Drosophila melanogaster: one gene and its partner. The gene in region 1 interacts genetically with each later gene. Each region holds a gene or a part of one and is shown on either strand. Other genes may lie near its edges.

Evidence for each region.
Region 2: of Dop1R1 (region 1) and DopEcR, changing one suppresses a phenotype caused by changing the other (phenotypic suppression), as found in Drosophila melanogaster (one study listed by BioGRID).

Annotation. Positions count from the first base shown.
Region 1 is NT_033777.3:14,211,639-14,216,945, reverse strand, and holds the start of Dop1R1 (dopamine 1-like receptor 1), read left to right. Parts: upstream 1-2,135; 5' UTR 2,136-2,623; coding exon 2,624-2,956; intron 2,957-5,307. Other genes in the region: CG9649 (uncharacterized protein), read left to right, coding at 1-32, 227-938, 1,006-1,429. UniProt on the Drosophila melanogaster protein: Receptor for dopamine. The activity of this receptor is mediated by G proteins which activate adenylyl cyclase. Might be involved in the processing of visual information and/or visual learning.
Region 2 is NT_037436.4:4,377,076-4,382,038, reverse strand, and holds the start of DopEcR (Dopamine/Ecdysteroid receptor), read left to right. Parts: upstream 1-1,651; 5' UTR 1,652-2,108; intron 2,109-2,439; exon of another isoform or gene 2,440-2,442; 5' UTR 2,443-2,618; intron 2,619-4,039; exon of another isoform or gene 4,040-4,671; intron 4,672-4,963. Other genes in the region: CG32240 (uncharacterized protein), read left to right, coding at 553-653, 712-849, 913-1,111.

The DNA of each region.
Region 1 (5,307 bases):
TAATGGAAAAGTTGCGTGCGAGGCTGTGCCTTGTAAGTAAAAAGAAAACCAATTTTAAATGATATATCCAAGACTCAAACGAGTCATACCAGCGTGCAAAAAAATGAATTCAAGTGCAATTTAATAGGAGGAAAGATGCCAAGTTGTATTATGTATGCATGTAATTAGAATAATTTACTCAACTGATTTTTGCTTTTATTAATATACATTTTTAATGCTCTTGCAGTTGGAGCTCCTAGCACAAGGCTATCTTTGTCGCGAACTCTGCGAACTTCTGTGCCTTTGGCAGCTATACCGCCGTCTCAGCGGACTGATCACCAATGGCCCCAGGCCCCTCAGACCAACTACACTGTATATGAGGAGGAGGAGGAAGAGGAGCCAGTTCAAAGACGCCGCCCACAACAGCGTCCTTCGAGGCCGCGTCCACAACAGGCGCCGTCAAGACCACGGCTGCAACCCGTGCCTCAATTGCCACAAGAACCAGAGTTCCAGACGTCAGCCAGACCTTCAGTTCATCCGTCGAATACGCCCGCGCAAGCATCCAAGTTCTATCCCCAGACAATTGGTCAACTGAGCGGAATCTGTGGGCGTGAAAAGGTCATCCAGACACCCTTTATCCACAACGGAATTGAAGTGGAGCGGGGTCAGCTGCCCTGGATGGCCGCTCTTTTCGAGCACGTTGGCAGGGACTATAACTTTTTGTGCGGCGGAACGCTGATCTCGGCCAGAACAGTGATCTCGGCTGCCCACTGCTTCCGCTTTGGCAGTCGGAATTTGCCGGGCGAGCGGACTATTGTTTCGCTGGGGCGTAACTCCTTGGATCTTTTTTCGTCGGGAGCTACACTAGGTGTAGCGCGACTATTAATCCACGAACAGTACAATCCCAATGTATACACCGATGCGGATTTAGCACTGCTCCAGTTGTCTAATCACGTTGAGTAAGTACATTTATTGATTAATTTATTTTGTCAAATTGATTAACTTTTAAATCGTAACTACACTTAGTATTGGCGATTACATCAAGCCCATCTGTTTGTGGAACGAGAACTTTTTGCTCGAACTGCCCTCGGGTCACAAGTCCTATGTGGCTGGTTGGGGTGAGGATGAAAAGGGGAACCGAAACACGCGACTGGCCAAGATGACAGACACGGACATCATCACCCAGTGGGAATGTCGTGGAAATCTGTCCGAGGAGAACGCCAAGTTTATCACCTCGCACACGATCTGTGCCAGCAATGCCCAGGCGTCCGGTCCCTGCAGCGGAGATTCCGGTGGTGGACTGATGCTCCAGGAGCAGGACATCTGGATGCTGCGCGGCGTCGTCTCAGCCGGACAGCGAATGACCAACAGATGCAATCTGACGCTGCCTGTCATCTATACGGATGTGGCCAAGCACATCGAGTGGCTGCTCAGTAGCATGTGGTTTTGATAGGTTATACAAGAGATTAGTTGAATTAAGTGCCAAAATAAAAGATACAAAATTTTTTAAAAAAGTGACAGTTGCATTACCCCTATCCACACATAACTAAAGGGGTTAAAGTTGATTTTAATAGTATTTATATGGAGCTTTGGAGGTTTTTATCACTAAAGTAAGCAATTACCTAAGTTCACATTTTAAATGCCTATATTTGATAAATTTCTGAAATACTCATATAGAAAATCATATGTACAAAAAACTAACAAAACTTGTGGTCCCCACTTTATGTAAGGGTATCTCAATTGAAAGATTGCATCGGCCAGCAGATCTGCCAGCGGCGATTTGTCAAAGACAGCAATTGCATTCCATTTGCATGCAGTTGAGGCATTCACTCAGCCCAAATGACATCGCAACGTTGTTCCCAGTTTCGTAATGAGAACAAATAGAGGTGGCGGCCAAAGTCGCGTCGGAGTCGCTAGTGAAACGCTGGGAAAACGCGTCGTTGGAACAACAGGTGCTTTCCCTCAATACAGCTAACTCTCATGCTTATTTGCTCCAAGTCTCTCTCTTGCTCTGCGCAGCGCATATATTCCGCCTAGTGAGCGACATATCCTGTTGAATGGACTTCGCGGCTCCGGCGGAACTCGAAAGTTGTTGCATACTCTACGGCATTGGTCGTTCTCCGCCGTACTGATACCGTTAGTCGTGCGTATCCGGACAGTCGACGTTCAGCCTTCAGTTCGCACGGTTCGTCAAGCGGTGGCCCGCTGGAAAGATAGTGCCAGATAACACCAACCAACCCATATAATCGGACATAATTCCGAGTGCCGATCGAGAATTCTTGACGGGCGTACGTGTGTGTGTGTGTGTGCGAGAAGCGTGTGTCAGTTAAGTGTGTGCATACCACAAGCATATATATATTATATATATGGCATATTTATCAATCATTTAAGCAGTGACTTTAATGCTGTAATTTCGCCTGATTGATGGCTGGACATGACTCTGGGTCGCGTTCTCCGCGATGCCTGAATCTGAAACCCAGCGAGTTTCTCAGTTCGTCTGAACATGCTTCAATTGCCGCATTTAGTATCGAAGAAGTGTATTAGCAGAATGCTGCATTGCCGTAGTCGGGCAATTTATTGCCGTACCCGCAACTAAGAATCTCTCGCTGAAAAGAGGAAGCAACCATCCACCAACCATCCATTCATGTACACACCACACCCATTTGGTTTCCTAATCATCCTCGTTCCAATGACAAATGCAATGCGGGCGATTGCTGCAATCGCAGCAGGAGTGGGTTCAGTGGCCGCCACGGTCGCAACCAGCACCACCAGTTCCATCAGCAGCAGCACCACCATCATCAACACCAGTAGCGCCACTACCATCGGCGGGAATCACACCAGTGGGAGCACCGGATTCTCCACGAATTCCACGCTGCTGGACGCCGATCATCTGCCGCTGCAGCTCACGACCGCCAAGGTGGACCTGGACATTGAAATCGACATCCAACTGCTGACAAATGGCTACGATGGCACAACGGTGAGTTGCGGAAAAGGGCTGGAGAAGTGGGGAGTCCGGGCGGAAACGAGGCCCGGAGTGGGTCGATTGTATTTATGTGGCTGCCAACGAGGCATTCATTGGGCTTTGGCTTTGGATGCGGCCTTAGCTTTGGCTTTATGTCCAATGTGCAGCTCGTAAAATGCGCAGAACACGGGGGAAAAAAGTAGAATTATTAGAATTGTGCTTGGTTATTAAAAACGTGCAATCAATAATGTTATGTCCTATACAAAAAAGGATATTGCAATAACCATAGTATTACATGTCAAGCAATCAAATATTTGTGGCATTCAATTTGCAGTTCCACAATAATAGGAATGAATAAAAGGTGTTAAATAATAGATGTTATTCACAGGAACTATATATGTACATAGAAGAATCACGATTTTATTTTCAGTGTAGTCTCAGGTATCCATATCGCCACTATAATTTACAATGTCTTTGTCTCCGATCGGGTGTTGTAGGATATTGGCCTTCATGAGCTTTTCAGTTTTATTACGTGCTGGCATATTTCCCGAACATTGTAGTAGAGTTCCTCTAGGTGATTCGGTGGTTTATGGGGCGTATACGCAATCCGCTCGCAGATTGCTTAATGATTTGTCAAGACAAAAGGGGTGCAAAAAGTTATCCAATGAGGGAAGGATGGGTGATTATCACATGATTATCACACACATCCCGCACGCCTTCATAATATTTAATACAAAGTTTAAATTATAACAAAAGGTTGGCAGTTAGCAAAAGTTTTCTCTGTTCGCATTCCTTTTAATTTATATCACTTCTAGCCAACCAGCTGGTAAATGAAAATGAATGTGAGCCTCATTAGCAGCCAGCACATGGAGAAACTTTTGCTAGGATGCGAGTACACACCTCCATCGATGCATAATCCGGTTTTCAAAGGAACTCCGCCAAGGATGTATACCAAAACCAAAGTTTAACCCTTTTTTCACTCGTGTGTATTTTATTTTTCCTCCTCCTCTTTTTTTTTTTGTTTTTTGCTTTTTTTTTTGGGAGAACGAGCAATTTACGTGCTTGGTGTGGCAACAGTAAAGGATATGAGGCAACGCACGCAGACGAGGATGACATAGATATAGATCTAAATACTTGTTGTGTGGAACGGCAAAGTTGTGCTCATCTGTTCGCACGTTTAACTTTCAATCGAATGTAAATAATGAGTATCACGTAAGTTGGGTGGAGCAAGGACATTTATCGCCGCATCACGTTGTCATCATGTTCATGTGCCGCACATTTTCCACGTAAATAGGTTTTCAACTAATTTACAAACTGTTGAGAGGGCGTATTTACTACCCTGATTTACCGAACGCTAACTGGGTCAATTTAAGCTAATTGCCTGATGAAAAGTTCACATTTTTCCATTTACATTATGCATTTATACCGAGTGCACTTGGTTTTTTTTATAGACCAGACAACTTGAGACCAGTCTCAATTGATGTGAACTAACCACAGGTTGACACTGACATTTGTGCCCATCATCTGTCAGCAGAAAATTGTCTTTTGGGGCATAGTTATTCCGCACGCTTTTCTTTTCTCTGGCATTTGCATAATGCATCACGCATACGCCGCGTTGTGCATTCTAATTGAATTATTAATTTGCGCTCGTCGAATCTTGCCTGCATGCATAAAAAGCGGGTTTATGCTCGTACTTTTCATGAATAGTCCCCAAATCCCCATCCGCCGCATCACCTCCTTGAATCCATTGTGATTTCGCGTTCTTGGATGGGATTCCGCATTTTCTAGTCGCAAGGAAAAAACTTTGGCTTGCCATTGTTCGCAGGCTTTGCATAGCAATAATACTAAAATATTAATAGACTTATTTGTTATTGCCGCTGCCATGTGGATTGTGCTTTCCATTCAGCAAATCGCCTTCCTTTGTTATCCAAACGCAAATATATTCTTATATATATATATATATCCGAATCGAACCAGAGCCTCTGGAATTTGCGCAAATTTCCGCCGGCAATTTATCCAAATCAGTAGGCAGCAAGTGGGAGGGGCGTGGCCCGATTGCTATCGATAGGCTGGCCAATTGAAATCGAGCTTATTCGGTATAACTGTAATTGTTTGCTTTTGGCAACTCCACAATTTATTGGAGTGAAATAGTACGCTGTTTGAAAAACATCCTTAAGCCTAATTGCAACATTTTCCTTTGGGGTTTACATGGCCGAATTTGACACCAAAATAATTTTACTAAGCTAAAAATAATGAATAACATTTTCACAATAAAAATGTAACGTACCAACAATTTTGATTGACTTAAAAATATATATTTTAAATTATAAGTCGGACACATGCAATAATAAACTGTTTTATAAATA
Region 2 (4,963 bases), on another chromosome or scaffold:
TGTTCTTTTGACACTGTCAACATTCTCCAACCCCATAATTTATTTGATCACGCTTTTCCGAGGCGATTGTTGACGGAAGCGCACGAATTGCCATTGCAAATTGCAATTGCACCTCGTAGACAAAAGCGAAATTCGCAATGTGGCAAACTTGAATTAGTTAAATGATGATCCCGCCGGGCAATCGATCGTAGAATGTTCGACGATCTTCGACCTTGGCGCCATTTTAAGCCTTAACTTCCAGGTTGTTAAGGATAAGCAGCATAAGCATCTGGCATCGATGCATTGATCATGCTTTCGCATTAATGAGGCAATAATTTAATTGATACTTTTCCAAAGCTACTGCAGCAAATCATTCTTTTGATAAAATGCTTACTATATTATGTATTAAGTCAGCACTGCTTTTCCTCAACACTCAAAGCTCGAATAACATGAGATTTAGTATTATTTTTAAATTTCAAAGAATCAAAACCAACGCATAACACTAGTTAGCTGATTTTCAAAATTTTATCCGGTCTTCAAAAGGTAGCCAGTCGCAGCCAGTCGATCAGGCCAATGATGATGCCTCAATTTGTGTTCTGGAGGAGGGATGCCAAAAAGACCCAGCTGGAGCAGATCTCGCCCATCTGGAGGGATTTGAATGCTACATTTGTGACGTAACACGCAGATAGGATCACTTTTACTTTATGTTACTATATACCATTTTTCATATAGGGTTCTCAGCTGGAGTTGGCTCATCTACGCACTTTCCGCACTGGTAATCATCACTTGTGCATATTTCGCTTATTGTGAGCGCTGCCGAAGAACTGAATCAGTGCGACGACGACGGGTGATTCAAAGAGCTCAAGAGCGGTATAATAGTTATGATTTAAATTTAACAGTTTGTGTTAATTTATCATTTATACACCATTTAAGACCGCCACAAAAGCGACGACCGAATGCGGCCTATCGGGATCACCAGATCTACCGCCACATCATCCTCAGCGTGGCCAAGTACATGAAGAATCCGGATGGTATTCGACCCTTTATAGAACACATGGAGCAGCTATATCCACTCAGGCATAACTTGGCCGATCAGCAGCAGGTGGCCGAACCAAGTGCTGGAGAAGATTAGTGATCAGGGAGGTAAAACCAAAAGATTTGAATCCAAAATTAATAGAATAAATACTGCGAAAATTAAATTTATTTTCATAAGTAGTCTTAAATGCAATGAAGTGCTCTCACTTATTTAATTTCCTATCTACTAATATTATTTCTTTAAAAAATAGCTTAGAGATGAGAACTTGGAGATAATAGATACCAATTGCAAACTAGAGTGGGAGCAACTAGATAAATTAATTAGTTTAACCAGGCTCATGCTTTTGGCCAACTAAAATTGGGTCATGCGCAGTGGGAGATTCTGGTTGGCGGTGCCTAAAAATATGCAGTGCTATTTTTACCTGCCACAAATATAAACAAACGCCATGTGCGTTTGCCGAGCTTTCAGCTGGCGAAAGCTTCGCTTTCTCTCGCTTCCTGTTGCTGCTTTTCCATTTCCATTTCCAGCCGCCCTCTCTCTCAGATCTCTCTCTCCCTCTCTATCGTGCGAGAGAGAGTTCGCCGAGTTGTCGGGGCGTTAGCAGAAGAGAAGAAAAGCGATGGAAAAACGGAAAACAGTTGCCAGTTAGACAGTGAGCGCGTCGCATCTACGCACGCATCGAAAAGATTCAGCGGCAGCAGCAGCAGCGCGTTCAGTGGTTGTTGTTGTTGGAAACGGTGGAAGCACACACACACAGCAGACACAACACCAACACACGCCCGCACACACACACACACACCAACACGCGGCCAGCAAACACACTTTTCGGCTGGCCTTAATTTTCATTGCATACCAATGCCAATCACAATCAAAAATGGAATATTTGAAAATTTGAAAATTCGAATGGCAAAGTGAATTCAATTAAATTGTGCAAATTACGAGCTTGAGGATAATTGAAAAATCAAGGCACACACCTGCGCACATGTGTCTGTGAGAGGGTCCTGTGTGTACTGGTATCTGTGTGAGAACGCCTTTGGCTGTATGTGTGTTGAAGGCTAAGCAGAAAATCAGCAGCCCACGGAAAAGCCAACAAGTAAAGCGAAAAAAATTAATGTTGCATGTGCCCCGAAAATCGGGAAATTGGAAATGGAAATTCAGTTAACCATAGCAAGAAAGTTCGACAGTGCAAAGTGACAAAGTTTGAAAGATATATTATTATCGCGACACCAAAGCCATAAATCGTGCCCCTTATAAATTATCTTATCTGAAAAGAAAATCCATTTAAATCAACACCACCTAATGCATGCATTAAAATATTATTTGATTGATTTATTAGTGAAAAATACACGGGCTGCTTAAAGTTCCTTTGAGGGCCACCGACTTGGTTAGATATATCTTAAGCCCACATTCATCTAGATATTTTACAGTTCTTGCCTGTTGCAGCCAAAGAGTTAGCAAACAAAGTGATAAAGACAAAGTGTTCAAGAAAAAATGTAATAAATACCCATTAAATATTATACAAGAAATCAACTTAATACTCAACCGATCAACTGGAAAAACTGAGCAATGTCAAGGCAAAGGTTCTCAACACGAGCAGTCTCAGGTGAGCAATTTTTCGGTGGCAGGGAGCATCAAGTCGAGCTTTGCTCCAGACGCATCCTACCTCAACACAAAAAAAAAGCGAAGATAGATGGGAAGAAACAGGGAGCGAGAGGGAACGCGAAAGAGCGAACCAAAACATAAACAACCCCGAAAAGAGCGAAACTCTAGAAGTAATGGTCGAAAGGAAAGTGCTGACACTTAAAAAAAAAGAAGAGAACTTTGAGAATTTTTAATTTTTTTTGATAATTTATTTAAGATAACATTAGACGTGTTTTTTTGACAATTACTTGGCTATAATGCACCTTTTTGCGAGTGTCTAATCTATATAGCTGTGTAGTAGACTATGGAGTGAAACAAGCTGTACCGTTAAAAAAAATTTAAATAGTCTAAAGACTTGAAATTTATATTGGGATATTTTTTTCGCAGTGCACTTGAACCTCCACTTCTCCTATCGGAAATGCTGTGCTGTTCTTCTCATATCCCTTATGCTCGGTCCTTCGGTGTTGATGTAGAGATACGAAAATAGGCAAAGTTTAGCACAAAAAAACGAAGAATTTCAGTTGGAAAGCTCAATGCAAAGAATGGCAGCATTCGTTGGGGATTAGCCAAAGCCAAAAGACTTTGTGCAAATACTGAAAAGCTCGGCCTGAGCGCATCATTTTCCACGCAAATTTCGTTTGCGAAAATTTCAATTTATGTGTGGCAAACAGGATTTGCAGTATATGTCTGCATATGTATGTATGTATCTGTAACTCGGTCACACGTTACACGCTTCTCCGTTTTTTTTTTTTCCCCACCATTTTATTGACTTTGTCGTTTTATAGGCAATTTGTCTTCTGGCAGCCGTCGATAGCTTTTGCTGTGTCATAAAATTACGCGCCAAGCGAATGCCCCGTATCCTTATTGGTATCCTTATCCTTATCGGCAAGGACCGGGTTTCGAGCTTGGACTCTTTCGCTGCCAAGTTGTTTATATTGTCGTAAATTTGCCTTCAAGGACGCGACAACACCGCACAGTCTGCCGCCTCCCACCGCCCCCTACCCGCTCACATGGCCATTTTATCGATCACACAATGGGAAATTTCACACGTTGTCCCAAAGGGCTGGAAAATGGGTTTGGAAACGTACAGTGGTCGCTCCTGGCTTTAATTAATTCGAATCACCAGGATATGGATAGACCCACTGCAACAAATTGGGGATATAATTACAGAGAACTGTATCTCCGCGTATAGATCATATAACGTATTAGAAATACATAAGTAAAAAATTACCATTCAATCTATATTTTAGATCTAAGAATCTTAAAGATACAATATCTTATTATTATTGGATACCTACACATTCGCTTTACGCAGAGAACACTGTGGCAACAGACCCGTTGTGTTGAGTTGCGTTTCGTTGCTCGTCTTTAATTACGTGCGCTGCAATTGGCAGCTTCAAGGTCGTTGCCGTCTTTTGCATAATTAAGGGTCACCCACCGCCGCCCAGCGTGCCACCCCCTTCTGACTCATTGGTGCACCCATCGCAAGTGGCTTTTGTTCTTGCAACACAGTTTCAGTTTCTGAATAATGCAATTGACGCGGTCGTGTAGGCGCTGACACAGTTGCCATTTTTCACACATGACCAGCCGGAAAACAGAAACCAGAAACCAGAGACCAGGCACAACTAACAACTGGCACCGTGCGACGTGCAACGTGCGACGAGCAGCATGCAACATTCGCCGCATGTCCGGCAAGCGAGTGCAATTTCCATAGCACACTTCAAGGCTGGCCGCTGTCTAATTTACATGGCAAATGACGCTGCTCTGGCTTTCTCCGCTTTCACTGCTTTCTCCGCTTTGCATTTATGACTCGTGACGTGCAATGGCGATTGTCCGCCAACCATTTTCTTCGCCGTTTTGTGTTTCGACACACGTATTCAATTAGCCCGATAAAGGAAGCAAAATGCCGCAGCTGCTGCTGCCCACACATTTGCATATGAAAGAAAGTCCGGGAAAATTCGAGGGTGCTGATGGTGCTTGTTGGCGGGAAATGTGAGCCGTTTTAGCCATGAAATAAAACGGTACCATCAACATTGGCAGCAAATTTTAATTGGACTCTAATTCGACTTTATCTTCGCAGATAAAATCCTTTTACCCAAAAATGATCTACTTAAAAATATTGCTTTTTGGAATTATATATTTTATTTATTGCTTTACTGTGAAGTATTCAAGTTTAAGTAATTAATATATCTTTTTCCAATCCGGTCTGCAAAGAATTTATTTGCACACATTTATATCTCTTTTGATTTATGACCACAACGTGTCGCGTATATGCCGTGTTTTTTATACATTTTGTGGAAGACACCA